Lepisosteus oculatus: one gene and its partners. The protein of the gene in region 2 interacts with the protein of the main gene of each other region in a pairwise test. Links are inferred from orthologs where the notes say so. Each region holds a gene or a part of one and is shown on either strand. Other genes may lie near its edges. The genes, in order: pdhx, agtrap, mrm1 and ndrg4.

What was found.
Region 1: the proteins of agtrap (region 2) and pdhx interact in binary tests that used the Homo sapiens proteins (3 or more experiments, as listed by UniProt). The two-hybrid records come from large-scale screens. The link is inferred for Lepisosteus oculatus from reciprocal best matches to the Homo sapiens genes AGTRAP and PDHX.
Region 3: the proteins of agtrap (region 2) and mrm1 interact in binary tests that used the Homo sapiens proteins (3 or more experiments, as listed by UniProt). The two-hybrid records come from large-scale screens. The link is inferred for Lepisosteus oculatus from reciprocal best matches to the Homo sapiens genes AGTRAP and MRM1.
Region 4: the proteins of agtrap (region 2) and ndrg4 interact in binary tests that used the Homo sapiens proteins (3 or more experiments, as listed by UniProt). The two-hybrid records come from large-scale screens. The link is inferred for Lepisosteus oculatus from reciprocal best matches to the Homo sapiens genes AGTRAP and NDRG4.

The regions. Positions count from the first base shown.
Region 1 is NC_090716.1:14,266,333-14,273,844, reverse strand, and holds the start of pdhx (pyruvate dehydrogenase protein X component, mitochondrial), read left to right. Parts: upstream 1-4,505; 5' UTR 4,506-4,709; coding exon 4,710-4,845; intron 4,846-7,461; coding exon 7,462-7,512. Other genes in the region: apip (methylthioribulose-1-phosphate dehydratase), read right to left, coding at 1,550-1,598, 2,528-2,628, 3,124-3,177.
Region 2 is NC_090720.1:5,640,905-5,648,260, reverse strand, and holds the start of agtrap (type-1 angiotensin II receptor-associated protein), read left to right. Parts: upstream 1-4,347; 5' UTR 4,348-4,362; coding exon 4,363-4,500; exon of another isoform or gene 4,501-4,581; coding exon of another isoform or gene 4,582-4,608; intron 4,609-5,118; coding exon 5,119-5,153; intron 5,154-6,332; coding exon 6,333-6,444; intron 6,445-6,902; coding exon 6,903-7,116; intron 7,117-7,356. UniProt on the Homo sapiens protein: Appears to be a negative regulator of type-1 angiotensin II receptor-mediated signaling by regulating receptor internalization as well as mechanism of receptor desensitization such as phosphorylation.
Region 3 is NC_090721.1:7,566,970-7,574,841, reverse strand, and holds the start of mrm1 (rRNA methyltransferase 1, mitochondrial), read right to left. Parts: upstream 3,016-7,872; 5' UTR 2,592-3,015; exon of another isoform or gene 2,588-2,591; intron 1,338-2,587; 5' UTR 1,310-1,337; coding exon 489-1,309; intron 1-488. Other genes in the region: dehydrogenase/reductase SDR family member 13-like, read right to left, coding at 4,257-4,504, 5,246-5,572, 6,161-6,284, 6,535-6,653, 7,313-7,439. UniProt on the Homo sapiens protein: S-adenosyl-L-methionine-dependent 2'-O-ribose methyltransferase that catalyzes the formation of 2'-O-methylguanosine at position 1145 (Gm1145) in the 16S mitochondrial large subunit ribosomal RNA (mtLSU rRNA), a universally conserved modification in the peptidyl transferase domain of the mtLSU rRNA.
Region 4 is NC_090715.1:12,051,279-12,059,285, reverse strand, and holds the start of ndrg4 (protein NDRG4), read left to right. Parts: upstream 1-5,001; 5' UTR 5,002-5,230; intron 5,231-8,007. UniProt on the Homo sapiens protein: Contributes to the maintenance of intracerebral BDNF levels within the normal range, which is necessary for the preservation of spatial learning and the resistance to neuronal cell death caused by ischemic stress.

The DNA of each region.
Region 1 (7,512 bases), on a different chromosome or scaffold from region 2:
TTAAGAGTTTTTAATCAAGCTCCTAGCTCGCCTGCCTGTAACAGCAACCCACCCTCTCCAACTGCACCTTTTCACTTAGCATTCTACCACACTGCAGTGCAGAACTGATTGATGACCTTGTTGATTCTGCTGTTCCCTGTTCCCTTCCAAGACTTAGCCTATCTGTCGCCTAGTCCCCCTCTTTGTCTTATTGTCCCTCTCATCCTTCCTCCCTTGTCACCCCCGCTCTGGAGCCTGCTATCCAGAAACATTGTGGCTATACCTTCTCTGATTGCTCCCCGGCACCTCCTAAAGACCCTACAGTAAATATCTGATTTTTATGCGACTGATTCAAAGCAACAGCCTTCATTAGAAAGGCAGTTACCCAGTTTGAAACATTTGAAACCTAATAAGTATACATAGCAACATATCACTGAGCGGCTGATGTCGGCTGGCCAATAGCCCCTCGCACTCCTTGAGCTGCCTTAGGAGCATGGATTCTTCTTTTGGGTGGCTTCAAGGTGTGGCCCCCAATGCCTGCAGAGGCCATACTGCCAATATTTCTTAAATTAATCAGATTTAATTGCTAACATAATTAAGATAAATACAGCTTAATTACAGAATGACGTGGGGAATAACCTGCTGCCTTTTATCACCTTACTAGTAGAAGGAAGACAATTTGCCAAGTGATGACCTAAAACAAGGAAGTAAAGGCTTTCAACGCCTGAGAGCAGAATCTACACATGACAAGTAGGACAATGATTAATAAAGTATATAGACATATGATGGTGCTAGTAAACAGTACTTCTGCCAAACTTTGTGCTCAGCGACAAACTTGAGAAGAGCTTTGTTAGGGCTCTAAAGCAGTTAGGTTTTGTTTTGTATTTTGACAATTTACTGCTATTTTCCTTTCTAATTAAAGACACTAATTCTAATTCAGCTTGTGTGTCACGCATGAAAGAGCTGTAAAAGAAGATAACTGAGTGAATTAGTTATCATGGGTTGTAACACACAGACGTTTTTTTTTTGTCCTGGGTAGCTGACACTAAAGTTTATGTTCTGGAAATGGGTGGAAGATACATTAACACTTAATTTGTGGTGGAAGGAAGTTTGCAAAGTGATGCAGAAAGTGCAGTAGTTGATTGCTAGCACTCTAGAGATTAGGAGATCTTAGCATTAATCTACTGCTTCCATGCTTGGAGAAAGACAGCATAGAAGATACAGCATTCTGCTATCCAACACACTTTCTCCTTAATACACCACAAATATGTCCTTATTTTACTTTTTAGTTTAGAAATAACCTTTAACTTTTAATTTGAAGCTCACATGCCAACACAGCTCCGTACTCTGAACAATCTGGGTATTTTATTGGTAAAATTGTTTTTTTTGTATTTAAAATTGTACTAGGATATATCTGACTTATATGAAAGCTAAAAAAATATTATCCGACTAGATACCTGAGATAAGATACATTAACCAGACACCTAATGTCAAGGGGAGAAAAAAGGCATTAAACTCAAAAGGTATTCAGTTACAGGTCCCAGGCAGTTCCTCAGAGATCTTTACTGACCTGAATCCTTTCCTTCTGCACTCCTGAGGGGGCAATGTAGATGTGATCTCTGAAGGGGTAGGCCAGAGAGATACAGTCAGAACACAATCTCATTAAGCATTTGCTTCTAAGTGAAGTAACAAGAACTACTTGCTTTATTTTAACTGAACAAGACAGTTACTGCCTTTATCCAATGAGAAGTTACACCTGTCTTCTCCACAATAAAGAATGTAATCTATATCACCTGGACACTCTTTTTTTAATCTAACACATGAACATGACAAAGGACTGTCTTCACCTCAAAAAAAAAACATACCAGTATAAATCAGACACATTTTAAAGTAACTTACAGGAGGGATTTTATCTTGATGAAATATCCCTGTTACACACATTCACACCTGAAGAAGGCTCCACGGCCAAAACGTGTTTTTTTTTCTTTTCTTTTCAACATGGAATAAACCTATTACTTGTTCCTATAACACTGTTATCCTGTTTACCTCTTGACAACCTCTTTATACATTTGTGATATAGATGCATTGTAGTGCACATGCTTCTACTGCTTCAGCCTCAGTAGATTTAGCACACTGTTGACTTACTATTTAGGCTCACAGCTGAGAGAGTAGACGGTAGTCTCCTGTAAGAGGGCAGTGACTCCAGACAAAATGGAGATTCGGTTTGCAAGGACAAGTGGTCAGGTGAGAATTTAAAAGGGCTGAGGCTTGACAGGGTCAGCCTCTGGCTTCCTTTCCTCACGCCTAGCGCAGCACGCACAGTGGAGGATCTGCGCTCTGTCCCCAGATGGCAAGGCGAGTTACACCTTGAAGACATTTTGTCTGGGGTCACCGGCCTCTCACACCTTCCCAAACCTGAATGGGCACAACTGAATGAAGATTGTCTTCACTTCATACTCTTTCTATGAAATGGCATTTGTTCTCTGAATTGGTGCTGCACACTGGATGACCACACCAGATTTCTAAGCTTCAGGCTTGGCATACTCACCCCTGCCTGAGACTGATACCCCCTCCTGTTCCTGTCACCCAGCCTAACTGGTAGAAGAGTTTGCAGAGCTCAGGAATCAGCAACCTTGGGTTGTCCTTGTCCTGGAATGGAAAATATTCACTAAAACAAACGGCAATCTCATTCTGTCTCAAGCAAATTCCATTACTGTCCAGTCAGTTCAAGGAGTAGGGCACTAGGGAGTATTCTTGACCACCATCCGGTGCAGAGCAGCTCAACATCTGTGCTGTTTTTGTTGCAATATACTGCTCATTTCTTAATTGTGCAAGGCCACAACTCGCAAATAAAATACATGTCGAAGGTATCTGTCACGTGAGTGATTATTTAATTGTGGAACGTCATAATAATTCAGCGGCAATACCACAGAATAAACGCTAAAAGGGACAATTAGCACATTGCATTATGTGCGTCTGTTGCTTGAAAGTTTCTAAAAGCAGGCTGACCACATGGCAGCGTAAACGACGTTTATATCATCGACATTCGCGTTGTCCGGATTTAAAGGGGGGGAAAACTTCAATATTGTTACGTAACGTAAACACATTTTATATTTCTGAGAAAGCAACTTTGGATAAACTTACCTCAATAGATTGGGCACATTTAGAGCAGTCGCGATTATAGACCGCTGAAGACATTTTTAGCAATACTCTTCGGCAAATAAAAATTAATGCCTAAATTAAGGCCTAAACTTGCTTTCGTTCCTTGACCGTGTACTTGGTCACAAGAACGCCTTAAAGAACAGGACGATGAAAACGAAAACCGCTCGCCACCCACCCCTCACGTTTTTGAGGCACAGAAAGTCTAAACAGTACAGCCACTATGTTGGTTTTCGATGGCTGCTGCTCCCTGCTGCTCCCTGCTGCATAAGTCTGCGCAGCGTCTGCACAGATCTGCACAGGTCCGCTTCATGTGACGTCGTATGTGACGTCACTGCGCAGCCCCGGTCAGTAAACTCGGTAACTCTGGAAGACAAGATGCGCATGTTGCTGGTATCATCGTGAGGCACAGCTTGCTGGATCATCTGCAGCTCTGAAAATCTGAATATTATCCAGCCCACAAGTACCAGAATTAAACTAACTGAACATTTCTTTTTGTTTAATTGAGAAACAAATGAGTGTTCCTAAGATGCTAATGATTTAACCTATAAAGGCTATAGGAACTGGGGTTCTGTGTACCAGAGAGGTAAACTGACACCAGAGATATACTGACACTGCACTTGTAATTACTGTCAGAAGTGTTAAATTACCTTAGGTGTGCCTCCAGTCTGTTGTTCTTCCCCCCTCACAATGTATTTTTGTGAAACAAAGGTTGTCAAAATACAGCAGAGAAGCAGGCACAACATTGCAGGAACTCCTCCTGCTACAAACCCTTCTCATCCAACACAATAAGAGATGGAGCAGGTGACCACCTATTCAGCAAAAGATGAGGTAAGCAGGATGTGGATGTGAAAAGGTATCATCCCAACCTGCTTTATTTACTCTACATTGTGAAATCCACATGTTACAGTGTGACATGCCGCATTCCTGTGTCCAGGGGACACATTTTCACAAGAAAACCCCTGGCTTGAGGTGGAGATTACATCAACTACAACTCAAGGGCAAAATGAACACAGGTGCACAACTCTGGTCCTCACAAGAAGAATCCAGCAAGGGTTAATATCCTACTTCCTCCTACTTTTTTTAGTAGCTTGGGTGTTTGGGTACCAACTGATAATGTTTTAAGGAGGGAGCTGTATAACACACCTACACTGAATTAAACTGGAAGGGCTGGGCTTTGCCTGCGCATATGCAACAGTGCGGAGTTTGCAGACTTTTCTGGCTTAGCAGTCGAAATTTGCATGCAGCTCTGCTCTTGCCTGCCCGACCGCCGAGTGCAGTGAGATCTGCGCAGATCTGCAGGCTTTGCGTATAAAGGAAGCGACAAGAAGCGCGAAGGACCTCTTCTCATGGATGGGGTCCTTCTATCACAATTGTCGTTTGTTTTTGTAGTTAGTTATCCTGCCTAAATTTAAATTGTTTTATTTAAAATAAGTGGGAAAATGTCATATTTTCGTTAAACAGCACTAACGTGAAACATGCAGTAAAAAACGTATCCATTCATTTCTGCACTCAGAAACGCAAAACTTTGAAAGGCAGTAGGGTAACTGGTAATTTCCGAGGACACAAATATGGCGGCCTCCTTGCGGATGGGACATCGGGGGATATTGAGTGGTTTGAGGTTAATAAAACTGAAGAAATGCACCGGTTTAACCCAAACTCAGGATGGATATTATCGGCACTTTTTTCAGTCCTCACCAATGTTTGGTAAGTGTTGGCGTGTCACATGATAAAAACCAAAACGCACATCGCTGGCTGGGTTATAATGGAAGGTTGTGTGCTACTTGTACTGCTGTATTTTATTTTTACGCTGTTTTAAAGTTTTTAAAGCGTTAAGACTAGCACGCACGGTTCCCCTTCTAAATTGTAGTACACGTACAAGCCAGAAATAGACAACAGACGGGGACATTTAACGTTGATCATCTCAAGTTACTGTACACATTAGGAGTTTAGATTTTAATTCATAAACATAACATTGCAGTTCTTTATATAGTGCATTAGATCAAGCAATAGGTTTATTCCTGCTGAAAAGAGAAGAATGGGAACACAACGTTTCGGGTGTTGAGCCTTCTTCCGGTGGCACACCCTTCCTCCACCGTCCACACCCGAAGAAGGCTCCATAGCCGAAACGTTGTGTTCTCAGGAATAAACCTTTTCTTGTTCCTTTGCAGCCTACGCATGCTAACGCAGCTATACAGCTGGACTACTTCACAATATGCATTTTATGTGTATTATGTTATATCTTGTTGTTGATTTATGTTGGAATAGGCTGGGGGTAATCAGCATGTTTGCTGTAGCATTAGTTAACGGCAACCTCACCACCTTGTTGCTGATCCCTGCATGTTTCTATTACATAAACTTTGTAAAATTGAGTATATGAACAAAACTATATTAAACTGCATAGTCCACTCAACACTATTTCTACCTTTCATTATGTTATGGTGCTGCTTGTCTAAAGGAGAAAAAAAAGTCTTCTGTCTGCTAAAGGGAGACAAAGGCAATATGAAGGTTATGTGATAGAATAGTAGCCAACCTAAAACTGGGATGAAAACTCGCTTTTCATCAGAGCAGTGACCCACAAAATGAGTCCAAAGCTACATTCAAGTGGAACAACAGAAAGTGAGTGCTATTGAGTGTTCTAGTCATGATTCTGACTTCCATCCAATGGAAAGCCAAGACTTTGAAAATCGGCCATCAATAATAAGTGTCGGTGAGAACAGTCAGCTGCAGTATACATCCTGTTATTTTATTCATTATATCTTTCCAGGTAGTGAGAAGATGAAAGAGTAATCCTTACCAAGTGATTATGAACTCCTATCATTTTTCATACATGATTTGTGTCATATTGTTACTACTTTGTGATTAGTCTTTAAATTCTGCAGGAAAAAAAAGAGAACATTCAAGGCATGCTTGTCTGCCCCCTTAGAGCATAGCAGTCCTTTGTATGATGTTCTGCTTCAGGCCCTGCATCACACAGCGTCGATTAGTACAACTGGGGTTGGCTGTCCCTTTCTTGTTACTGCTTTGGTTACTGTTCCTTTGCATGGCCTTCATGTTGCCTTCATCAGTGCTACATGTTTTAATTTTGCATGGCTATCTCTCTAATGCAGTTTGTTTTCTCCTTATAACCATGCATTATACCGGTCTAACTTGCTAGATCTAAAGCATCATGTACTATTAGGATATGGTGTCATTGACGATTTAGTCTTTAGTAGGTTTTAAAAGGTATCGTAGAACTCATTAACAAAAAGCAATCAGAACAACTGGGTGGAAAGCATTTTAAAAGAAGTGCTAATTCGATCATTGCAATAGTAATGAACAATAATTCCATTTTGTTGTGATTCTTCAAAGGGGCTGCAGGGGGCAGCAAAGTCTCTTTGCAATTGTTTTTTAATCACGGTTTACTTTTTGTACTGAGCCTCCTCAAGAAGTAAAGTTGGCTCTGACCCTTCATCTAGATACCCTGAGTGTTCTTAGACCATTCCAGTCTATCGTCTATTTTGTTTTTCTTGAAGTAGTTTGGGACCTCAGCTACTTGGTTGGGAGAGCAGAAATCCACAACTCTTTTTGTCAAGAAGGATTCTGTTATTTTTGTAGTCTACCTTAAATTAATTCCCTGCTACTTTCCAGTTGTGATCCTGTATTCATTTTTGGTGAAGTAGTCCCCTGGGTTAACTATGTTTGCTGTATATTGTACCCATTACAGTTTTATACACATGTAATACATCTCCTCTTGCTCTGTTGTGTTAAAAGCAAAGACATGCTGCTCTTTTAATCTGTCTGGATAAACCAGTACCTCTTGAGGTAAGGACTCTTGTTTGTCTTGGTTGTCTGAACTCTTTCCATGGCTGTGATATCCTTTTTGTGGAATAGTGTGCAAAACTAAGCACAATATTCAAACTCATGTGTTACAAATGCTTTACAAACCTTAACCATAATCTTCTTTTAAATTAAATGCTTTATACTTTGTGGTTTGGGGTCATCAAAAAATCTGCAGGAACATCCCTTCATGTGTGGTTTCCCACTTTAGAATCATCCAGTCAACTTTTTGTACAGTGCTCTCTTTCTTTTTTCTTTTTTTTTTGTCCAGTACCATTAAGGCTGTTTTTTCTAGACCTGGACTTTTTGCTCCAGGATTTTTTTTTAACCTTAAACATTACATTTGTTTGGGTCACATAAATTGGGTTATACATAGTCCCGTAAAGTTTTTGTACGATTCATAAAGTGTGAGAATTAATTTATTTATTGGTAACCCTCCTCCTCCACCCATCTCTGTGGCTGCTGCTGCTTGTAAGAGTCGGTGTGTTTCCTTCTGTCCTTCAGGAGTGGCCCCAGTCAAAGTGATGATGCCAGCTCTTTCCCCCACCATGGAGG
Region 2 (7,356 bases):
GCGAATAATGTGAAATATCTGCTTCAAAAGCTTCATAGCCTTTTAATTTGAAGAAACATTATTGGCAAATGTTGCGATCAGTCAATGTTTGTAAACCACCACTGGGTCTAATCCTAATTCTGTCTCTGACTCTAGCTCTGGGCTCAGAGTTAAGGTTGGAGCTGAGGTTAAGGTTAGGATTTAGAGTTTGAATTCATGTAGTGTAGCACTGGAGTATGAGTTAGACCTTCAGTTAGGCCTAGGTTAAGGGTTGGAGCAAGGTTGTGCTTAATGTTAGGATTGGGGTATATGTGAGAGTTAAAACTAAAATAAGGGTAAGGAGAAGAGACAACCTCTTGAGAATAGCTACACTGTGGGAGGTATTCAAGATAAACAGCAAAGATTATGTCAGTGTTAAGTTTAAGTTTGGAGCTATGGTTAAGTGCTGGATTAGGGTTAGGCTGGATGAAAGTTTGGAAATTGGGTTGGGGAGGGCTTGTGTTTAGTGTTTGGATTAGTGTTGCAGCTAAGTGTTGTATGGGATAACATGAACTACTCCCAGACCAGCCACACACTGGCTAACTTGTTTTGCCATTGTACTATATTTTAGTAGTCCTACCCTCTGCACCCACTTTTGAAATCGCCTTCATCACTGCCCCTGCCACCACCCACACAGTTCCATACACTTTCACCTTTCTCGCTTCCTGCACAAGCCAAGAAACTCTTGATTTTTATGCAAACTTTTATCAAATGATTGATTTTGCTATTTATCTCACCCGACAAGAAGATACGGGTATTTTGACATTCACAATAGACACAATTTTTACTTATTTCACTGATTTGAGATCAGATCTTTCACAGAGTGACTTTTGTAGGCCTGTTTGTAGACAGCCCGAGAGTTTTAAAATGTGCAAATTGATCTTTTTTCCAGAAGCTCCTCTGTTAATTTCAGGTCAAAGATAAGCAAGACTGCTGTACATTATTATTGCATGTTGTAATAACATAAAGATGCATTTCCTCTGTTAATGATATTTATTGACTTATGAGATTTAGTAATGTCACAGATGTTATGACCTTGAGTTCTGGGTGGCCCACTAAACTCTTAGTATTGATCATGCATAAGTTGTAATTTAAGACAAGCTAAATATATTGACAAAATTATTCTCTGATGTGCTGCCTTTTCTAGCTCATAGATACAAGGATACAGTGCTTTGGGAAGATGTATTTTGTTGATGGAGCTTGTATCCTATTTTAAAATTCAGTAAACCCTCAGTTTTATGAACTAACAGAGGCAAAGTGGTGTCAGGTATAAGTCTGTTAAATAATGTAGAAAATACATACATATATATGCTTACTGGGTCTTTTAACTTTGAATGGCTACAACACAGCCAGTGAAATTGTCCATGTGCCTTATGTAAATATACTAGCTCTTTATTTAGTGTACTGTAAATATATGGTATAAAATTTGCTAAAGTAACAAAACATAAATAACTTCCATTGTAAGCAATTGACCTGGATAACAGTACAAACCAATGAAATATTTATTTTTGCTTTGTTTAATTATTGGTGCACTTCATTTTTGTGGGAAAAGTCCGATAAAAAGAAAATGATTCACTAGGAATAACAGCACCCGAGAATTAAGCGTCCTGAAGGGATTATGGGGTGTTTGATGAAAATTTGACTTAACCTGCTTGACTGAGGGCTGACCCCTTACATACACAACAAAGACAACACCTATGAGTATTTATAATACAAGTGTGCAGTAGAGCTTCTGTATTCACCTGACCAATGAATACAGATTTCTTGAGTGTGTGAAGGAGTGGGACAATTTAGTGTGAAGTAAAAGTGATTTCTTCTGTAACTGACTACCTAACAGTTTTGCAGTGCTTCTGCAGGTCAGCTCCTAATGAATACCACTGCCAGGCACTCCAGAGTTGCCCCACCCCTCTGATAGTGAGGTGGCCAAGCCCAGCCCATCTCCTCATATGCATTAGCTGCAAAGTGTCTACTTGTATTCTTTTTATTTTCATTGAAAACTATAAAAAAACAATGGAGAAAACAAATGAATGAACGCCCAGTGTGGGTGTTGGGCTGCTGGAGCTGAGGAGTTTGTGATGCGTTTTGCATCTCCAAGAATTCTACCTAATACTGTATAACTGAGACCCCTTTTCAGTGCCAGTGAATCTGAGCCCCGTGTGAATCTCAAACATTCTCCTTAAGAAAGAACATGGATATATACAGTATATACTGTATGAAACATCAGAGCACCGTGCCAGGACTGTTCTGAAGCACCAGGTTGGTGTTCTGTAATTGTGTGCAAATGTCTTGCTGTACAAATCACTGCCTTAGCTGATGGAGCATCTTCACAGTACAATACAAGCTGATGCAAATGTGAGAGGCAATGATGTACAAGAGGAGTGGTATGAGCACAGAACAGATCACATGTGGCAGCTGACACCCCATGTGTTCCCCAGCTTGATTAAAGACGTTTTTGTATCTGTAATTTTCCAGCAATCAGACAAAGCAAGGTGCATATTTCTCATTACTGAATTGTTTATTCTGAGGTACGATTGTCTTTCACACTACTCTTTGAAAAACACCTTGTTTGGACAATGACACACGGGCAGAAGATGGACATTTCCTGTTTCGAACTGTTCCTGAAATCACCAGTATTCTGCTTCCCTCGTCTGTATTCCTCTGCCCCAGAGCAAAACAGATCTCGTACCAGAATGCCATTATGGAGGTGCTGCTTCTGCTGGCCATTCCACGCATGTCAAATACAGCCCTGGGTCAAGGCAATAGGATCACTAGAACATGTGCACCTGCAGCTGAAAACAGAGTAGGTCCACAATTTGTTGCTACGTTACATTAACAATAGAAGGATTGATCCCACATCTCAGAAAAAAATGAATGAATCTGTACGTTAAACAGGTGTAGCTGGGCCAGCAGAACCTCAAGGAGAGAGGAGGTCTGCAGGAGGAATGGGGGAGCAGGGACAGAGAGGAAGAGTATAACAGAGCCTCTCCACCGCCCCCTCTCTTAGAGCAGTGTCACCGAGCTCAGGGGTCACCGGGTCAGCAGGAGGGGTGATCCTGCCACAGGACCCCGCTCTTTACAACCAGCCCACCATCTGCTGTGCTTTTTGTAGCCCAACAAAGGAGGTTTTTAAACAGCCAGGCGTGAAAGAAGAGACTAAAGTAGAGAAGAAAGGCGCATGGCACACATTTCCACACACTTGCGGTGGGGCCTGTGCGCCGCTCTTTGATTTATAGACCCCCAGTCTTCCTGAAATTGGGAGCAGCAGAGGTTTCCATGACAGCTGCGGGCTTCTGTTTCAAGTTTATGAACATCCAGATCATGTGGAGCCTCCGGTGTCTGCTGTAATAATAGAAGATTAATTGGTTTGCAAAAAATGGTTACAAAAGTAATTAAAATTGTAATCTGGAACGTCTTCAGCTGCTTGCTAGTGTAATAACACACAAATAATGTAAGATGGGGACACAATTCACTGAGCCCAAGTTTGATTTTTTAATGAATTAAACAAGGACAACTTTTTAAGAACACTGAAGTTTTAATCAACAGATTTCAAATTATTTTATTAAGGAACCTTTTCATAGTAAGCTTATACTAAGAGCAGTCATCAAGGTTTACTACAGCTGGGGAATTCCACGCGTGTATTTCACATTTTACAATGCTTAACGCACCTATTACTCAATTCTTCATGACTCACAGACTTCATCAAAGTATCTTGCTGTATGTAACAAATGCTTTTGCATATATTTAAAATCTTAACTTCTCAAACTCACTCCTCACTGAGGTAACATTGCATCTATCTGCCATAAAAGGCAGCATTTCCAAGTGTAATGGTATGTTGTCTGTTCAGCGCAGAGATTTGGGAAATTCCTGGTGTGAACAGCTTGGAATAGAGACGTGCTCTCACCTGAAAAAGCAAACCAGTGTGTGTGGGCACACAGCGGGGCTGTGACCAGTGACCAGAGGCCGGGCTGTCATTACAACAGAATGACCTGCTTATTGAAAGGAGTTTTTTATTTTTTTAACTTTGAACACCTTAAACCACCAGTGCAAAAACACACCAAATACTAAGTGAATATGGATTTTAAATACCTGCTTTCTCCCTGGTATTAGAATAGACGGATGAAGATACATCCACATCCACATCCACATCCACATCCACATCCACATCCACATCCACATCCACATCCACATCCACAGAACCAAGAGGACCAGGAACTAGGAAAGTACCCTGTTCTTAAGGGCAGTGCAACTTTAAAGGGTTCTAAGCAGAATTTCACCCAATCATCTTTCAACACCCCTTCACTATTCCGCATCTAACGCAATTCCTTCGGTGGGTGAAGGCGGGGGATGAGGCTGCTGACGTTCACGTGGTGCTGTCAGGGTGGGCACGGTCACGTGGAGAGAGTCAGGCTGCCGTCACATGGTTTGTGTTTGCAGCTCTGCCACGGAGGGCGGAGACCGGGAAGTTCAGAGAGAGAAATTACGGTACTGTACTTTTATATGATTTCTGTTTGGACGCAAAAGCAAAAAAGGCTGAGTGGGAGTGGATAGACACTCGACAAGAGCATGGAAATTCCAGCCATAAATCTTAAGGTAAATATTAAAATTTGGATTGTTTATAGAAGTGCATGAACAGAAAGACAGACAGGTCTGTTAAATGTACGTCAACGTGCAACTGCTTTCTGTTTCTGTAATTTGCATTCAGTCAGTTCAATCTGATAAACCGTAGGAGATAATTAGTGGCATTTCTTATCCTGTCTTCAGCAGAAAACTGTTGATTTCCTAGATTAAACTGTATGTTGTAGAACATTTCATCCTATAAATGAAAATAAAAGTTTGTTTACGTGTAGTTCACGCTAAAAGTACACACAAGCTCCAAAGGGCTTATCTTCTGTACATCTCTACTTTTAAATGTAGAGCTCACACGTTTAGGAGAACTCATAAATCCACAACACAAGAAGTGACAATTTTGCGATCCGTCCGGGGGCCTGATTTTACATCTATGCGAGTGGCGCTGAATAAACTCTTTGCCACTACCGGATTATTATTTTATTATTAGGTTTTGGATAGCTGTAATGAACCTCTGTCTGCCTCTCCCCACAGGCAATTATACTGGTTCACTGGCTTCTGACAGTATGGTAAGCGGCTTGATTTTTTTTCTTTTCAAACAGCTGAGGAATTTCTCCGGCTGCCCTACTGCCGTTTTTAATTTTTGGAGGAGGGTATATGTACTTTCTAACCTTCCACTACCCCAACCCGAAAATAACTTTCTTTGCTTTTCAAGACTGCAGTGGTGCCTTCTCTAGGTTTTCTTTCGCTGCCCAGAGTTTTCGTGTTGACACCCAAAGCAGTGAATGATATCCTTTCCCTTTTCTTTTAAGTAAGAAAAGTAAGCATGTTGATTTAAAAATATATATATATATTGTAAGACCAGTCAATATGGGTTTATTACAAATCCTTATTATAGGTTTGAGGTTCAGAACTAAATATTTATTGTATGTAATATGTGTGGTTTTATATTGATAATCTGGATTATTATGGATTTAGGTCCGTATTCCTTAAACACTTTCTGTTGTGTACCTAATTCAGTGAATTTGCTAAAAGAAGAGAAGATTTCCCACAATGAGGAAGAAACTTTGGTATTTCTGACAATATGTATAGTTTACCATAATGGAAAAATGCAGAAACTAAACATTGCATTATTATTTTACTATTTGTATGACCCTAACCACTTTTTAACTATTCTCTTGTGTGGTTTATGCATCTAATGAGAAACATAACCGTCGGTTGTCGATTAAGAAAGCCTAGACTGAAAGTGAAGTTGAATTGAGCTGCAACAGGAAAGTAACGTGACTCAGTTCTCTGCTGTTAAAAAGGAAACAAGTTTACACAATGTGTGTTTTGCAAAGCGTTGTGTCCACTGTTACGTACAAAGTTATTGGTTGTAGATGTTCTGGGAGTTTTGATGAAATAGTTACAAGAATGGAACTCCACAATAAGTTAAGGAGCCCTTTTTACAGCTTATTACTGTGTGGTATTCTTAATTTCTCAGTATGAAAGGTAGGTCATACAGCACAGTGACAAAAAGGCACAATGAGTATGCTTGCAGTTTGTGCCACTCATAGAGAAGCCTCTGAATTATTCATATTTTAAAATTTAGACTAGCAAAATGTATGAGTATGAATAGAAATTCATAGAAATCAATGGGTTTTTTTGTAGCAATAAAGGCTATTAGCATCAACACACAGTAAGACATCTGGCTCTGGGGTTGTTGTGAAGCGAATGTTGAAGTAGAGCTGTCCTGTGCTGGTCTCCAGGGCCTGTATGTACATCTGGCTGCCTTCATCCTACGCTTGGGGTAACTTCAGTGTCCTGGCAGTGGGCGTCTGGGCTGTCGCTCAGAGGGACTCCATTGATGCTGTACTCATGGTGAGTTGGAAGACTTTCCACATGCTCCCTTGAAAACGATGCCGCATATTTGTTTTTTGACAAGTTGGGGAATGCACCCAATCAGCTAAGATGACACCTTTTCACGGCAAAGCCTTTGCTCCAAATTAAACCTGCGTTGTTGTACAACGGGTTAAAAGGAAGACAGTGTTGTGAATGTGTAGCAGCTCAGAAACACACAGCCCACATGGAGGAATGCGGCGACCTCTTGAGATATTGCACCATTTAACTTTACAGGAATCAGGACGTTGTCCGTAAGACACACACTGTAATGCATTACGCAATGTGGTGGATTTGGTTTTAATTTGCTTTCCTACGGTTTAAAAGTTGCACTTCGGTCAGCTTCCTGTAATAGCCTTTAGCTGTTGTGTTTCCCAGCGTGATTCCCAGTGCTTACCTACCTTGTCCTCTCTCCCACCCACTCCCACGCCTTCTCCCAGTTTCTGGCCGGAATGGCGGTGACGATATTGACCGATATTATTCATCTGGGAATTTACTACGCCGCAGTGGAGAGCGGCACGCCCCCCGGATTGAGGGACACGTTCCGCTTCTGCGCCGGCATGGCCATCCTCAGCCTGCTGCTCAAGCCCGCCTCCTGCTTCTTCGTCTACCAGATGTACCGGGAGAGGGGAGGCGACTGCAACGTGACCTTCGGTAAGCACAGGGCCTCCTCTGGGTCGGGGCCTGGCTGTGGGTCTGCTCCCGAGCCTCGGCCTGTTCTCATGCAGTCGTTGAGACAGGTTCTTTCATTTCTGTTTGGTATTAAGAATTTGACACCTACCAAACACTGCTGTGGATTGTAACAGGCCAAACAAGTTGAAGGAGTTTCTACTTGAGTAGGCCTGACTGCAGACGCTACATTTCCCTTGAACTCAGAAAGGATTTTCTGGATGC
Region 3 (7,872 bases), on a different chromosome or scaffold from region 2:
GCATCATATTCTGTGACTCAGAACAAGGTAACAATATGTACGGGAAGGTGAAGTGGCTCTTAGACATGACATACAAGCAGGCTTGTGAACACGTCTTTTAATCCAACAGAAATATTACGAGGAGGTTTTACTGACAAACACTACTTGTTCATTCCGCACGCAGATGACGGTGAAACACTTCTGCGGTGAAATATCTGCTACACAACCTGTATTTATTCACTCGTCCAACACATTACGTTAGCCATTACAGTGACTAGTGAGCAGGAAGGGCCGCTTCATGTTGCAGTTTGCACGAACTCTCACTCTCTCCCTGGCGAGACAAAGGGGTTTGCAACATGGCGACTTTTTGCTTCCCGGTTTTGTGCTCAATTCTGAATTTGTAAGATTTTGCGATACCGTTAATTCATTTATTTTGTGACCGAGATTTACCCCCTGGTCCGAGAAACTGGGGCTGCAGCTCCCCTTTGGAAAACAGGTCTGGAACGTACCTGTTCCGCAGGCTGCTGGCGATCCTGTCCACCCCCAGGAAATAGGCAGAGCGCAGAATGGCTCCCAGGTTCATCGGGTCCTGGATCCCATCCAGAACCAGCCAGAGAGGGGGCCCTGCCGAGTCCCGGCCTGGCTCTCCCTCCAGGGCGGGATCGTCTGTCTGGTAGCCCAGGGGACTGGCCTCCAGACACAGGCCCTGGTGGACCCTGCCTGAGGCCAGCCTGTCCAGCTCCTTCCGGTTCACCTGCTGGACCTCCACCTGCTTGCTCTGGGCCTGCCGGCACGCCTGCTGCAGGTCCGGCCTCTGCAGGGCAAGGCCCTGCTTCACGAAGAGCCTGCACAGCCTCCTCCTGCCCTGGGAGAGAGCCAGGAGGCAGGGGGCTGCGCCAAACACGATTTCAGTGCCCCGGAGTTCAGCCTCAGCCGGGGCTTTTTCCCCACGAGCCTTCGGCTTCCTCCTGGGGAAGTCCTCCTCGCTCAGGTTCCGGAGCTCGCTGGAGAGCCGGCTTCCGGTTCTGCAGCCCAGGTCAGCTGTGGCTGAGCCCCCGAACCTCATGCTCTTCCTGGAGGTCGGCTGCCCCACTCCCGAGCGCTCAGACTGACCTCCCAGCCTACAGGGGGCGCCATAGCCATCGCGGGCCCCTCCGCCGGGACCTCTCCGTGACCCCCCGTCCTTGTCTCGCGCAGAGAGGTGTGGCAGGGAGGCATGATAGGACTGCCAGGGGGGACTACGGGTTATTGATTCACAGATCACCCCCGTGGCTCTGTTCAGACTGCTCACACAGAGTACGGGTGCACTCCTCCCCAGCCACAACCTCATTCTCAGGACACGCGTCGCCGGGCTCAGACTGAAACAGAACAGCAGGCCACCTCTGAAACATGCGCGATTTTAAGCATGTTCCTTTGCAGCCTACGCATGCTGACGCAGCTCCCCACCATAATTAATCCTTTACACTTATATAGCACGTTTTCTGGATACCCCACTTCAAGTCACAAGTTTGAACTGAAGAGCTGAATTAAGAGGTTCATCAAGGGCCGAGAGGGCAATACTCCAACTGCGATTCATGTTCTGGAGGTAAATTTTAAAGAACCCCCAAAAAAAGAATTTCTAGTGCTTTTCAATCCTGGAATGCCTAGAAAAATAAATCATTCATGTATAATAATTATTATTAATTTCTTACACTTATATAGAGCTTTTCTGGACACTCCAACTCAAAGCACTTTACAGGTATCTGGGATCCCCTCCACCACCACCAGTGTGCAGCATCCACTTGGATGATGCGACGGCAGCCATAGTGAACCAGTACTCTCACCACACACCAGCTCTCGGTGAGGAGGGGAGCAGAGTGATGACACCAATTAAAAGATGGGGACCATTATGCATGAAAGATCTGCTTCAAATTTCTGTATAGTTTGAAATGACTACACAGCGGATCTTAATTCAGCTCCGTTTACACATACACCCACACGGACAAGGTCTGGCTCAGGTGAACCCTGTCATCACTCCTCAACAGATCTCAGTGAATTCACTCATCCCCTCTAGGATAGTCTGCTTGTAACCAACTGAAACCCTCATTACAACACCACCTTGTGTAACCTGGTTAGCAGGTTACTCCATACGAGATATCAAAGGAGGCATGTTCTTAAAGAATCTGAGCATACTATTTGTAAAGCAAGGACACCGAGCTCTTTATCGATAAAATGGGTCAGTCTTTGGCAATTGGCAATGTTTTATTAAAAGTAAAAATTAAAAAGGGACTCTACTAATAAATCAGATATACATGTGGACCCTTTTAGAGTACGTGTAAGGTTTAGCAAAGGTAGGGTTTAAACACATAATGTATTTTGGAACACTGCTCCTGATGCAATCAATGACCAGGACACCCTCGTACTTCTGTTGTTCAATTATCCCAGCAATTTTACACGTGGAGTGAAACGTCGCGCAATACAGCTATGCAGCAGCGTTTCTCGATCTCCGAGATTAGTCTTTTAAACTTTCTAACGGACAAACCCGGCACCTTTCAGGTTATTTGCCCATATTCCAATTTATGTAAAAGAAATGCCACCCCTTTTATAAAAAAAAAAAGACGGGACTCACACACATCACACTCCTTCCTGCAACACCGCCGCGAGGAACCGAGGAAACAACTTCCACCCTCTGCGCTCACGACAAATTAAACAGCGCCCTCTTCCGTCACTCCAGAGAAAAGACGCCCATTTAATTTACCCCATTGCCATTGACCAAACAGCAACAATTAAACACATAATAAAAATCAGGGTTCTCGCGTTTTTTTTTTAATGGTAAATGTTACCGGTTTGAAAGAAACTGCAGGAATATAATAATATTGGGTTTTACTTCACTCAGGCAAGAACATCAATGAGATGCCCAGTTTCATACAGGTAACTCAATAACACTGCTCCTCTGAATATTTCTGCAATACATAAAAGAGCTATATATTGTATCTGAACTGAATTGGTTCAACGTGAGAATTTACAGGATACTCTGCATGTCCCTTACCACTGAAAGAGTGCCCCTCGACTTAATTTTGTTCCACTCGTTACAATAAACGTGCAACAGTGCCCATACTCAGTGAAAATCAACACGAAGAAATAATCTAAGAGAAAATCAACTTTTTATTCAGTTTCAGCCACAGCCGCTGGGCAGACAATGTGGGCAATACAACCGATTTTTAAATTTCTAAAAAAAAAAGTCTTAACCCTCCTTACACGGAGAAACACGGGCAGAAATTCCAGGGTTTTTTAGCTTGTCCGACCTGGAAGAAGCGGACTTAGCAGACAAGACACCGAGGCAGAAATAACCAGACGCGTGCGGAGACAGAAGAATTAAGCACAGCAAGCAGAAGTAGCGTGCGGCTCAAAAAACAAAAACCAAAGTCTCCCCTTCTAAGGACAGCGCACCTTCTAAGACCTGAAAAACAAATGTCCTTGTGGTCACGGACACAGAGGTTTAGAAATGTGATTAAAATGCTCAGCCAGAAGGCAACAGTATGAGTGAATTTGCCACCACCCATGTTGGATCAAGTTAGAGGCACCATAAAAACTATGATGTATGCCAACAGGTAATTCCTAACCAGTTAGCAAAATAAAAATATAATCAAATCTCGAGTAAAATCTAAACTTGCTACATTCTTATTAAAGTGCCGCCCATCCCTTGAACAGCCCTGTGTTACAGGCCCATCCAGCACAACCGGAAAAACCTCCCACACTTGTCCCAGTGCCTCTCTGCACTCTTGAAACCTAGCCTGTTCGAGGCCCCCACACCAATTTCAGAAGAGCACCATGCAAAGGAAAGGCCGTCCATACGAGGAAGGAAAAACGTTTCATTCATTTACATCCACCATCCACATTTCGGGGGCTGTGGGCGCTGAGATCGTCCAGAATTCAGCTCCAGGCTGTGAGAGAATCGGCCAAGCCTGTTGTCAATCAGTGCAGTAATTGCATCACTACAGCCATGCTTTATAGTGTGCATAGCGGTAACTTTTCTCGTTTAATCTGGTCCTCAGCATTTAGGAAACTCAAGGTCCAAAAAGCCTGTTCTCATCATGAAATGTATGTAAACCCCAGAGATATATTCAAGTCATGTTTGACAAGAAGTCTACTCACACACTCTCTCAATTTAAGCATTTGAACACACATGGAAGAGTAGTTTCTCACAGCATTGCAGTTTCCCTAACCCTAAACCGAGCTCTGGCCAAATCCCGACGCCCTCTCCTCTCCCTCGTCTGCGGTGGAGATCCTATGTGCAGTCAGGCCAGGCCGGTCAGCCTCTCGCTGACCTCCCACAGCTTCCTGGCCACCGCGTCGTCCCGGGCCTTGGCCCCCACCTCCTGCACGGAGCAGCAGGAGAAGTAGCGCCCGCTGAGGGGCTCGATGCCCTCCTGCAGGGCGCAGTGCAGGGTGGTCTGGGCGCCGGCCTCCGCGTCCAGGAAGAACAGCCTGGCCACGGGCAGCAGAAGAGGCACCACCCCGCGGGCCAGCTCTGTGTCCACCACTCCTGCAGCCGGCAAGCACAGGACAGCAGGGTCAGCCCTCTATGTCACAACCACGACTGCAGACCGCATCACAAAAGAGCCTCCCAAGGCACTGAAAACGAGATGACTTCGTTTTACGCTTCTATCTCTCGTGCAACAACGAACAAGCTGAAACGTCTTTTTGTTCGCTGCTGATTACCAGAAGTCAGGCAGCCGAGACTCCTTGCTATCCTTAATTTAAAAACACACGTTAAAAGGAAGCTGCAGCCTCAGATTCTCAGATCAGCTATTAAATCTCGGCTACAAAATAAAATTCGCCGACGGTAATTTTACGAATTCTGAATTCAGCACAAAGTCGTGAACTTTGTGAACGTACTGTACGGTCGCCATGTCGTTGGAAACCGCTGGTCTCACCACGGGCGAGTGAGAGGATTCATGTGAACCGAGATGCGAGGCGGCCCTTCCTGCTCACTAGTCCCTGCGATGACTAATGTAATGAGATGTACGAGAAAAAGTATGGGTTGTGCAGCCGACATTTCACTGCAGAAACGTTCCAACGTGATCTGCAGGCGCAGTTAACAAGCAGTATTTGTCGTCAAAACTGTGTTACATAGTGAAATGTGTTACATAGACCCCTGTGACTTAAGCACAAGACATTGCACATTGCATTTTCAACTGTTGGCGGATGGCGTCAGCACGGCAGAGCTGAGATGAGTACACTGAAAGCAGATTTGGAGCAGTGGGCGTGTTGGGACTGCACTGACCTGGGTGAAGACTGTAGCAGCTGACGCTGGTGCCCTCCAGCCTGTTGGCCAGCTCACGGGTGAAGAGCAGGTTGCACAGCTTGCTGTGACAGTAGGCCCTGAAGTTCTGCCAGGCGGACTGGTGGGGCACCAGGTCTTTGTGGGTGCTCAGGGTGCCGAAGTCGATATCGCCCAGGCGGTGGAGCAGCGCCGCGACGTTGACCACGCGGCTCGGACCCCCCTCCTTCAGCCGCTCCAGCAGGAGAGAGGTCAACAGGAAGTGACCCAGGTGATTGACCCCAAAGGCCATGCCGAAACCATCCGCAGTCCTGCCTGGACCCATCATACCTGAGGCAGTCAGAAAGCCATGGGAAGACTGTTAAATACACAGACACATATCCTTACATACTGCTGATTTATGTATGGTAGCTTGACCTTATTCTATACCCCATCTCCCAGAAGCTAATTTCAGTATATGTGTAGTCGGAACAGGGATGTGTGGTCGTATCTTAAATTACCCTCTAATTTTCAAGCAACGTCATACGGTCTCATTGCACCAAGATGTTCGAGTACAGGGAGAAACACCCAAAGCATGCAAAAGCAGTCTAGATTTCCATGTTATGGGTGGGCCCTGCGTGCTTCTGCTCTGTTGCTGAACTCACGCACTGCCAGCACAGAGGAGTGTCGGCGGAGCTCTGTCCCAGCACACTGTCCGCTGCCTGTCTGGAGGAAGGGCAGCGGACTGGAAGCGTTTCGACCGAACAGACAGCTGTGCCTCATGTCCCTGGTCACGGGTCTGTGGTGGAAACCTATTTTGAGCGGTGTGTTCTGAAGGGCCGTACTGCAATACAAAGTGTGGCTCTACCCCTCCAGGAGCCCAGCTGTGTCTGCGAGGCCGAGCCCAGTCCTGCGGGTCTCCTCCTCCCCGGGCCCCACCTGCGTTATTGATGAGCAGATCCAGCCTGGGCTCCGTCTTCAGGAAGGTCTCGGCGAAGGAGCGCACAGACTGCAGGCTGGCCAGGTCCAGCTCCATGAACACCACCTCACTGCTGCCGGTTTCCTGAAAGACAAGCGTGTGTGCAGGCAGCGAGGCCCAGGGAGACTGTCACAGATCCAGCAGGCCCTCCGGTCAGGGGCTTTGACAACGGGACGGGTCACTCTTAATTCTGTAACGCGCACTGCCAACCCAGACAGAACTACTGCACACCGAATTCCTGTGACAAATTCCCAGCTAGTGCAGTTCTTCACTCCCCTTCACTGCTGTGTGAGACTGCCCGACAACACAAAGAGGAAAAGACCAGGTCTCTTACCCTCCTGATGTCATAGACGGCCGCCTCTGCCCTCTGCTTACTGCGGCAGGCCAGGACGACCCTGGCCCCTCTCCTGGCCAGCTCCAGAGCCGTGGCCTTCCCAATCCCTGTGTTGCCACCTGGAGGAGAAACACACCGAGGACATTAGGTGTCAGAAATCAGAGGTGGGGGGGTCAAAGGTCAGAGTTCATACATCGACACCGTTGCAAGACTTACCTCCCTTGTTAATGCGTGCAGTGGAAACGGACAGCGCTGCAAAAGTTTGCTAGATCCCAGCCTGGAAAGGTTATGTTCGAATGTGCGGGTTGTGTTGCGTTTTTGTGCTAACATTTTTAAGGTTGTGCGGTCCTCAGAAAAGGAGGGCGCGTAAATGGGTCACTAGACATGACTCATGTCAGCAGAAACACTCAACACTACAGCTACCATTTCAACTGCACAGGTACAATATCATCTTCCAGGAGTACGAAATCGCCCCTGACCGAACAGACCATGGACTTCAGGGAGTAAAATATTCGCAATACATCTTGTCATCTTAATATGAATATCCTGTATCCAAAAAAAAACTGAGAAAAAAAGTTTTAATGAATGAACTAAGAATTTTTTGGAGGTGAAAACACGCGATCTAGCTTTAGAAACAACACGCTGCAGAGAACAGGAAAGCACGGCTGAAGTTAAGGGAAAACCACAGAGAGTGGCATCAGGGCTTTCACTAGGAGAGCTGGTCATAGGAATACTCATTCACGCGTCTGGCATTATAATTAATAACAGCTTGGCTCACCTGTTACAATCGCGGTTTTTCCCTTCAGCACCGCGGTGCTTTTGCACACCTGACCTTTAAACACGCCGTAATAAATGAGCAAGTAAACAAAAACCACCAGGGCAATCGCAGTTAAAAAAGCGGCCATTTCTCCTTCGGCTCTTCAATCACCCGACTCCGCGCTGCAGAGTTTAACTGTGCTGTTTGGGTTGTTTCAGAAACACTGTCCTCCCAGTTTTACAACCACCTCCCTGCGAGTGTCGGATTCACTTCCTGTTTTCCTCTTTATTTACGTGTAACACTGCTTTTCTCCAGTAGATGTCCCCATTTCACACTTCAAGGCTACTCTCTTTCAAGCACTTGATTGGTAATCGCAAGATTTTGATCCCGTCTCACACACAACTGCATACACAAGTCTTCAATGGAATCGATTTGAATTCAGGCAGTTAAATCCGTCAAGAAGTCTTACAAGGCAAATAAAATTGGTTCCCGTCCTCAAAAGGTTCCGTGCAGTCGGATCGATGCTTTCAAGTCGAAGATCTACCACTGCTTCAGATAAACCATTTAATGAATTAAATTGC
Region 4 (8,007 bases), on a different chromosome or scaffold from region 2:
CTGTTCCTTTATCCGAGATAACTTACTGTACATAAATCCCCATGTGGTCAGTGAAGCATCACAGTTTTGCAGATGACGGTAACTTCCACAGTGCAACACGCAGAGTGATGCAGGAGCTGCAACACTGTGTATGGAAATAAGGAATGATGCCACAGCCAATGGCTGTGCAAGCAAGATACCGTAACAACAACAACGTTTGTAAAGGTCTTTACACATAGCAGAGATCTACTTCATCACCAGCTGAAGAGCAGCACCCATTTCTCCACAAGAGGAGAATGGAATCACGATTGTAGCTCAAGGATTCAGAGCAAAAACATGAAAATATGAGAAAAAAAAAACACTTCTACAGTCGGGCAGCTTGGTGAGGTGCTGGCGGTGAATTGCAGCTTTTGAGGCAGACAGTTGGAAGTGATGTGTTTTGAATTCATGCATCCCTGAAGGGAGTGAGATTTAACAGTAGTGCACCACTTCTGCTTCAAACATGCAAAGAGGTGTAAAAGCAGTGTGTTATAGGTTATTACAATTTGATTTTTATTAATTACCCAGAATAACTCAAAAGCAACCATGCAGACGCCTTGCTAAGAGACACTGTGCAGGTTTGAGTAACTGTCCTAGCTCCAACTGCTTCTGTAATTCTGCTAAACATTGATTATAATCAGTTTACAAAAGCGTGGCTCATGCTGAGACCTTTTAGTGTGCAATGTTTAGTGTTCTTTGTAAACACGTCATTTGTCATTTTTTTCTTTTTGTTCTAGAAACCCTGTTAGTTTTCACCTTTTATGGTTCGCTGTAGATGTACAGTAGGAGAGTGAAAGGCAAACATTGTCCGTAGAGCAATGCTGTGAGTCAGAGAGAGTCCTGGGGTGCCTGAATACTGGCCACCAGGATCTGTGAAATACTGTCGGCTGTTAACATACAATATAACAATGGTTTTCAATAGCTACTGAATGAAGATATTAACTTCAGCTGAAATACCGAGAAAGCAAAAAAAGCTTGGAATGAGTATGGGTTTTTACTTGATGATATGTCTGTCGAAGGCTTTTATGGGATTTAAAACATCTGACACTTTAAGGTCACTGTGATTTGGACCCATCCAGTAAACACACTGCAATGGCAATAATGATGGCTCCTCACAGCTGAATGGCACTGAACACTGTCCTATACAGGGGCGACTTTATGTTTTGAAGGTGAATCACTTTGTAAAAATCTCCATTCCTGCATGCCGGCCCATCTAAACTAGATGCTCAATAATTTTCTGATTGGGTTTTTAGATGTCAATTTTCATAGAAACAGAAGATCAGAAAGAGATGTGTTGAGATGTTTAGGTAGTTTATACTGTAACGTTTGTGGAATTCAGCCAGTCCACCAGGCCCGGCATTTTGCAAACAGCACAATTGGAATCTGTAATGACTCAGGTCTTGAAGTGGTCAGGTCCTCTGTGTAAAATCTACTCCAGAATGGCATCTTCTACAGTATAGTGTCCCCTTTCCTAAACTGGAGTTTTTGTTTGGAGCTTTTGATTTAGAGGGAACGGTCCCACCTGTCTGCCTGTCCACACATCCTTCATCAGCCTGAGCTTCCATCCAGTTACTGTAGGTCACCTTGCAGAGTGAAAGGATTTTTTGTGTTACTAAATGCACAAATACCTGGAGAGTGTGTGCCAGTGTTGTTCTTGTATTCTGCTTTCTTCCAACAGTTCAGAAAAGCTTTTTAGCTGAAGGGCAGATGCCCCATGCTGTGGAGTCCTCAGACAAGATGCAAGTTTGTGAACTTCAGCACAACTTGAATTTAAAACATATTCCTGCCCACCACTACTCATGACTTCCATCCCCAGTCGTTTGGTTTTAGATGGCAAATTTCATAGAATAATCTTTTGCATATATTGAGCCCTCCCCTGTCAAACGAACACTTCTTGAAATGTTCACCAAGTTCCATTTGCAAACTGCTGGTACAATTTTGACTTGGTTTTGCCTTAAGTGTTGTGTATTCAGTCAGCTCTTTCATGGTTTCTACACACTTGCATTACACATGTACGGCACCATTCCTCTCTGGCCTTTACTCTCCACTTGTTACAACATTGCTGTGCTATACTAGCTGGCATTGTGCTCTTGCTCTTGCATACCTCAGTGTGAATGTGAAAACAGGCCCCCCCCTACAGTACCTCTTTTACAATTTCTGGTTTCCAAAACCTTTCTTAAATCAGCCTTCTGGATGAGCATCTGCATCCGGCCCTGCATTCTACACAAGGATAAGCCTAAAATATATTGTTAGTTTATTCCTACTGTGTACTACGTGGTGTGAAACAAATATCATATGAACAATCTTGAGCAGAAACCCAAACAAATCATCAGGCCTAAACCAGTGCCATATAGCATTTGAACCCTTAAATGCACTCAATGTTAATATTGATCACATTTCTGTAATATTATTCTCCAGGATATCCTAAGGTAATTTAAGACCATTTTGAATACATGTTTTTTTTGTCCATTGGTATTTTGTACTCTAGAAAGTATTTTTGGATGAACCTCAACAAAAGTGTTGAGAAAGTGTTAAGCTGAGAGTTGAGGTTTGGGTTGAACTAGGGTTAGGAAGACTGTAAGGCTGTTACTGTAAGTAAAATAGTAAAACTGTGATATTGCATTTGTTTCAAGAGTAAAACACCACATTTCAATGGTGAAAGCAATACCTCCCCTCCTGTATGCTTGCCAAGGGGAATCCTTTGGAATGTGAAGTGCTGTATAAATGCAATTAATGATCATTTCCATTTTCTGGGCCTGATTGTTTTGTTTTTCTCCTATTGTTTTTTTCTGTGGAGGGGTGTGTCTGCTGCTCACAGCCCTTGGATCAGATCAGCAGTTTCACAGGCTCATGTCCACAACAGGTCCGTCATGCAGAGGGCAGCTTGTGCAGGCGCTTTTATTTTTAACTTAAGATAACCAAATCCAAGAGCAATGTTGACCTTATCTCTGTCCTGCCCTTGGGCTTTGAAGAAACAGCTGTGGGGTTGTTATGCCTAACTGGTTCCCAGCGCAGGAGTCTGTGTCCATCTGCCTCTTGCCTCCTGGCTGTGAGCATTTATCACTGCACCTCCTAACACCAGCCTGACAGAACCAACCAGTTTGATTTTGTTGATCTAACCAGTAAATTTGAACAAAAGAGAATGACAAGACTGCAGCCTTGAGCCAAGATGACTGTTCTTCCTTATAAAGAACAACAGAATCAGACTTGCTTGCTCCTGAACTTGTCTTCATCATTAGGACAGGCTAGCGTGCAACCTGCCCATCCAGGACCTGTGATACATCACCCAGTAGAATTCATTATGTCGTGTAAAGCTTGCTGAGTCCCAAGATCAGGAACTCAACAACTACATAATGCTTGGCTATGGAGCCTTCATTCATTCTCCATTCTGGATGATCCCATTTCTTCAGGGATACACCTCCACAACAGTACAGGCGCCCTTGACATTACAGCAGCTGATTTGATGTGCTGTTCCTTCTTAGATGCAGGCTTAACTTTATGGGCTACTCTCTTCTAAGGCTCTTGGGTACCATTAACCGTGGCAGTTTACAGAGAGAGTTCTTTTCCTTCTCATAAAATTCCTTACACTCAGAGCACTCCAAGATTCACTCATTCATCCCAGGTGAATTCGAATTCGGATTCAGCAGCTCTGTCTATTTGTGCATCCAGGTGGATGCTGCACATTGGTGGTGATGGAGGGGAGTCCCCATTACCTGTAAAGCGCTTTGAGTGGAGTGTCCAGAAAAGCACTATATAAGTGTAAACAATTATTATTATTAGTAACTCGGCAGCCATTTTGGCTCAAGAGTGCCCGGGTTTGAGCCAAGATGGTTTCCTTCCCAAGAGAAATCATCTTTGTCTCCATCACAGCTCTACATTTGCAGTTCTCAGTTGGGTTGTGCTTATTTGCGAACAAGGGTAGGTTATGGGGTGAAGTAAAATGAGCAGGTAGGCAGGTGGGTGAGCTTTGGCCTGTGGCCTGAGGCCAGAGCTCTACACAGTGCATTGCTGGATGGGTCTCCCGTTCCTCTCCTGTTGCCTACCTGTTAGCTCAGATGTACCATTCTCTCCAGAGCGAGATTCCGATCTGATCAGGGCTGCCTCCGCTTACCTCAATCTGTTCAGGGAAAGGAGAACAAAAACAGCCCTGGGTTGAGTCTGCCTGTGCAAATACAGAAAAGCCACAGTAACTTGCAGGAGAGGCATCTTGATCAATCCCTCTGTACTGTGTGTTTTAAAAAAATGCCTCCAGAACTCCAGAGTTGTGGAATGACCAACATAGATTAATGTTTTTTTTTCAGGTACAATGAAAAGTCACAAAAATGCTGACTTCATGTAGACTTCATTATTATGATTATAAGTGTCTTATTTCTCAAGCAAAAAAAAAATTGCTGTAAATATTTTAGGTGTTCAGGTTCCTTGTTGTTTAAAACTTGGTAGCAGTGTGTCATAGACGGAGATATATCAACATAAAGATGCTGCTGCAAGATTAGCATGCCCCAGAAGGGCCTGAGGCCTAACAAGTCTCAATTCTAGTTTCAAATGCATGTTACATAACATGCAACAATACCAATAGGAGTTTAAAAGCAAGGAGACTATCGCCAGCACGAAACTGCTGTTTCACAATTAACAATCTAGTGAGATATACAGCACGAGGGCAGAAAAATGAGCTTTTAGTAGAAATCACAGAGAAACATGATCTCAGATGGAGAACTCGAGGGGAGAATGAGGTACAGTATTGTAGCAGCAAATGTGAAAGACAGGCTAATTTATAATTAACTCTGGGGGGGGGTGTTAGACATGCACAAAAATTTTCACCTAAACCATTTTATAATGAAAACACTCCTAAGTGCCTGTGTGGGTGTTATTTTTTTTTGCTCTGCTTTCATCTCCCTGATTCGTTTGAGACTGGTGCCAGAGAGCTGCCTGTCGCAGTCTAGGTCTCTTCGTGGAAGTAGCCACCTCTCTCTCTCTCCCCTCCCTCCCTCTCTCTCCCTCTCATCTCCAGCCTCACAGAGCAGGGGGAGTCTGCACACTCGTCAGTTCCCCTGCCGCATCACCACAGACGCACGTGCTTTCTGTTTATTGCCTCTCAGAACAAGCCACCCAGGCGCGTTCTCCCAGGGTAGGCTGTTCCTCGCACACAGAGGCCGAGGACGAGAGAACAGGAGACACGAGCACAAAGAAACCAGCCTAAACCACATCACAACAGGTAGGAGACTTTATTTATCATCTGCATGGCGATCAGCTGTGGGCTTTAAACTGCACATTCTGTTCAGCACCGTGGAGTTATTTTTAATTTGAATTCTTTAATCTGGATGTGCTGCCGGTATGATCAGGGGAGCTGTATTGCAGTCTTACACCCAGATTTCTGAGCTCATGTGTTACATACTAGTCCATAATGGGCAAGACTGGCATGGCGTCAGTGTTCCACGATCTGCGATGGCATCAGGACACCATCAGGTGAATTAATTAACCCCTGAAGTTCTGCTTTAAATGGGAAATCTAAACACTGGATATGTATCAAAGTAAAGACCTTATCAGAATACCCTCTGTAATGCCATGCTTCTCCTCTGGCTAAACAGGAGATTCTGAAATTCAACAATACAAATTTTAGTTTTGAATCCAGTGTCTCTTATTTTTACTGGTTTTATAAATATTGAAGTGACGGGCAACTTTGTCAAAATGTTCGTAAAGCACAGCTCAGTTTATCAAGTGGAATACAGGATATACACAATTCCTCGTTAAGTGGTTTCTTTTTATAAGCAAAGAGCTAAACACTTCTAAATTGTTAGGAGGCATTTAGGTTAAAGCTGTTGTTCTGGGGATATAAGTTTGGCAGGAGGAGATTGCTATGTACAGCACTGAAATAAAAAAAATATTGCACAATAAATTGCTTGAGAGATGTGACATTTCTGGATTATTGAAAAAAAACAATTTAAAAACCTTCACAGGCCCTGTTTTTCATCTGCCTTAATTCACAAGCAACGTTTTTTATTTGCTAGTATCAGATTATCTGGAGCCCCACATGGGGCTGTGATGGTGTAAGGGAATCTTCAATGAAAACCTTTATTAAAAAAACATTATACAAAGGAAAGATCTGGATGAACATAAAGATATTTAACTCTTTCTCCATTTCAAGAATCCAATATTGTTTGGAAAACATGAAAGAAAATGATCGTGAAGCTGTCCGATTTAAAATTTCTTAATTAGTATTTACATGCAAACTATGTGATATTTGTAAAGATATCTGAAATAATTTGTATGAAGCTGCTTTTAATCCATCTAACATAATACAGGCTGGATATGTGATGCAAGAGTGACATGCTTGATTAAAAAAGATCAAACCAAAGTCATTTACATAGCAAATGTTGGAAGGGGTTTGTTTTTAACAGACTAGTCTTTGTGAAATCTACTGGGAAATCAGGAATACATCTAAGGAGAAATAGTTGAATATTTTCCAGATTCTGTTGCATGAAAAGTATAAAAACCCTTTATCTATACAACTCGCTAAACACAACAATCGTGTTAATTAGAAGTAGTATGTCTCAAATAATTACATTTTTTTAATTTAATTTTTATAGAATGCTCAACTACCCCTTCTGTTTCTTTATTCTCTTATTCTTCACTATCCCCAAGTCCTCATGCTCCCAAACGTGTACTGTAAGTAGTAGAGTAATTCCTTGAATATGACGGATATTAACCGTCAATCAGATAACTGAAAGTAGCAGTGCTGCATTGCCCACAGGAAGGTAGCCCTGATATTAACCAAGCATATACTGTAGGTGCGCAGTCAATCACAGAAATGCCTTCTGAGTTTTATTGTTAGAGGTGCCCCCTGCTGGGCCAACCTGCTCCTGCAGTGCCGGCGTCCTCAGCTAGGTTGGTGGTATAGTATGACCGGACACTGCCGGACAAAGTCAGCACCACCACACAACACCACCCGGGATTTCTGGGACCCGTCAACACTCTGGAATGAGAGACCAATATCAGGGGATGAGCCGCTTGTGGGTTCAGAAGAGTTTGATATGGAAAACTCTGGCGATGAAATCCCTCTTGCTTCTGTTCCTGGGCAATCACAGCTCTGCAGGCTTTCAGATAATCAGATGGGACATCAAAGCTTTAAATCAAGCTGTCATTTTGATCAATAAGGCAGAGCGAATCCCCATGTCACCCTGTACCTGGAGACCCAGGAGTGAGTATTTCTACTCTTATTTGATTTTCATGCCGCTAGGAAGACATGCAACCCGACAGCATAGATGCCTAGTCAATCCCACCTTTTGAGGCTTTTGAGCTTCAGGCTGTGATGCCCAGGATGTTTCAATTGATTTTCTTTTCTTGACTTCGTTTTTTTGTCATCCCACTCTCTCACTGTGACACGTCCAGGCAGATTTAATATCTCTTAAGAAGACGACCATCCAATTACGTCTATGTTGCACAATCTGAAGAAGAAAGCATATGCAATTGAGTTCTTTAACAGAATTCTGAATGTTATATTTTTAATACAGTTGTAAATTATTTAGTGATCTCTCTATAAAAGGTGACTTGGATAACATTGTATTTATAATCTTTTGTGTATATACAGTAGCACCTTTCATGACATCATGACATGATCTGCAGCACATTAAGCAAAAGCATTAGAAACCTATTGGATTAATACCCATTTTAATACAATTAATAGATTTAAAAGCTAGAGAATATTTTTAAATTTAAATGATATAGGTGTAGGCGGAGTTAACTGTACAATGATATATTCAAGGTGTCCTGTAGCATTTTTAATTTTCTTCTGAAATCCACAATCAGAGCAATTGCTGTGCTGTTAATATAAACTACACAATGGCTGTGTAAAGTGACATCATATCATATATAATGTATGTAAATTATTCTAGTTACATATATTGTTAAGAGAGGTACAAGAAAAAAGTTGGAATCAATGTCATGCAGTTATCTACAGCATGCAAAGCAATGTATGATACCACAAGACATTAA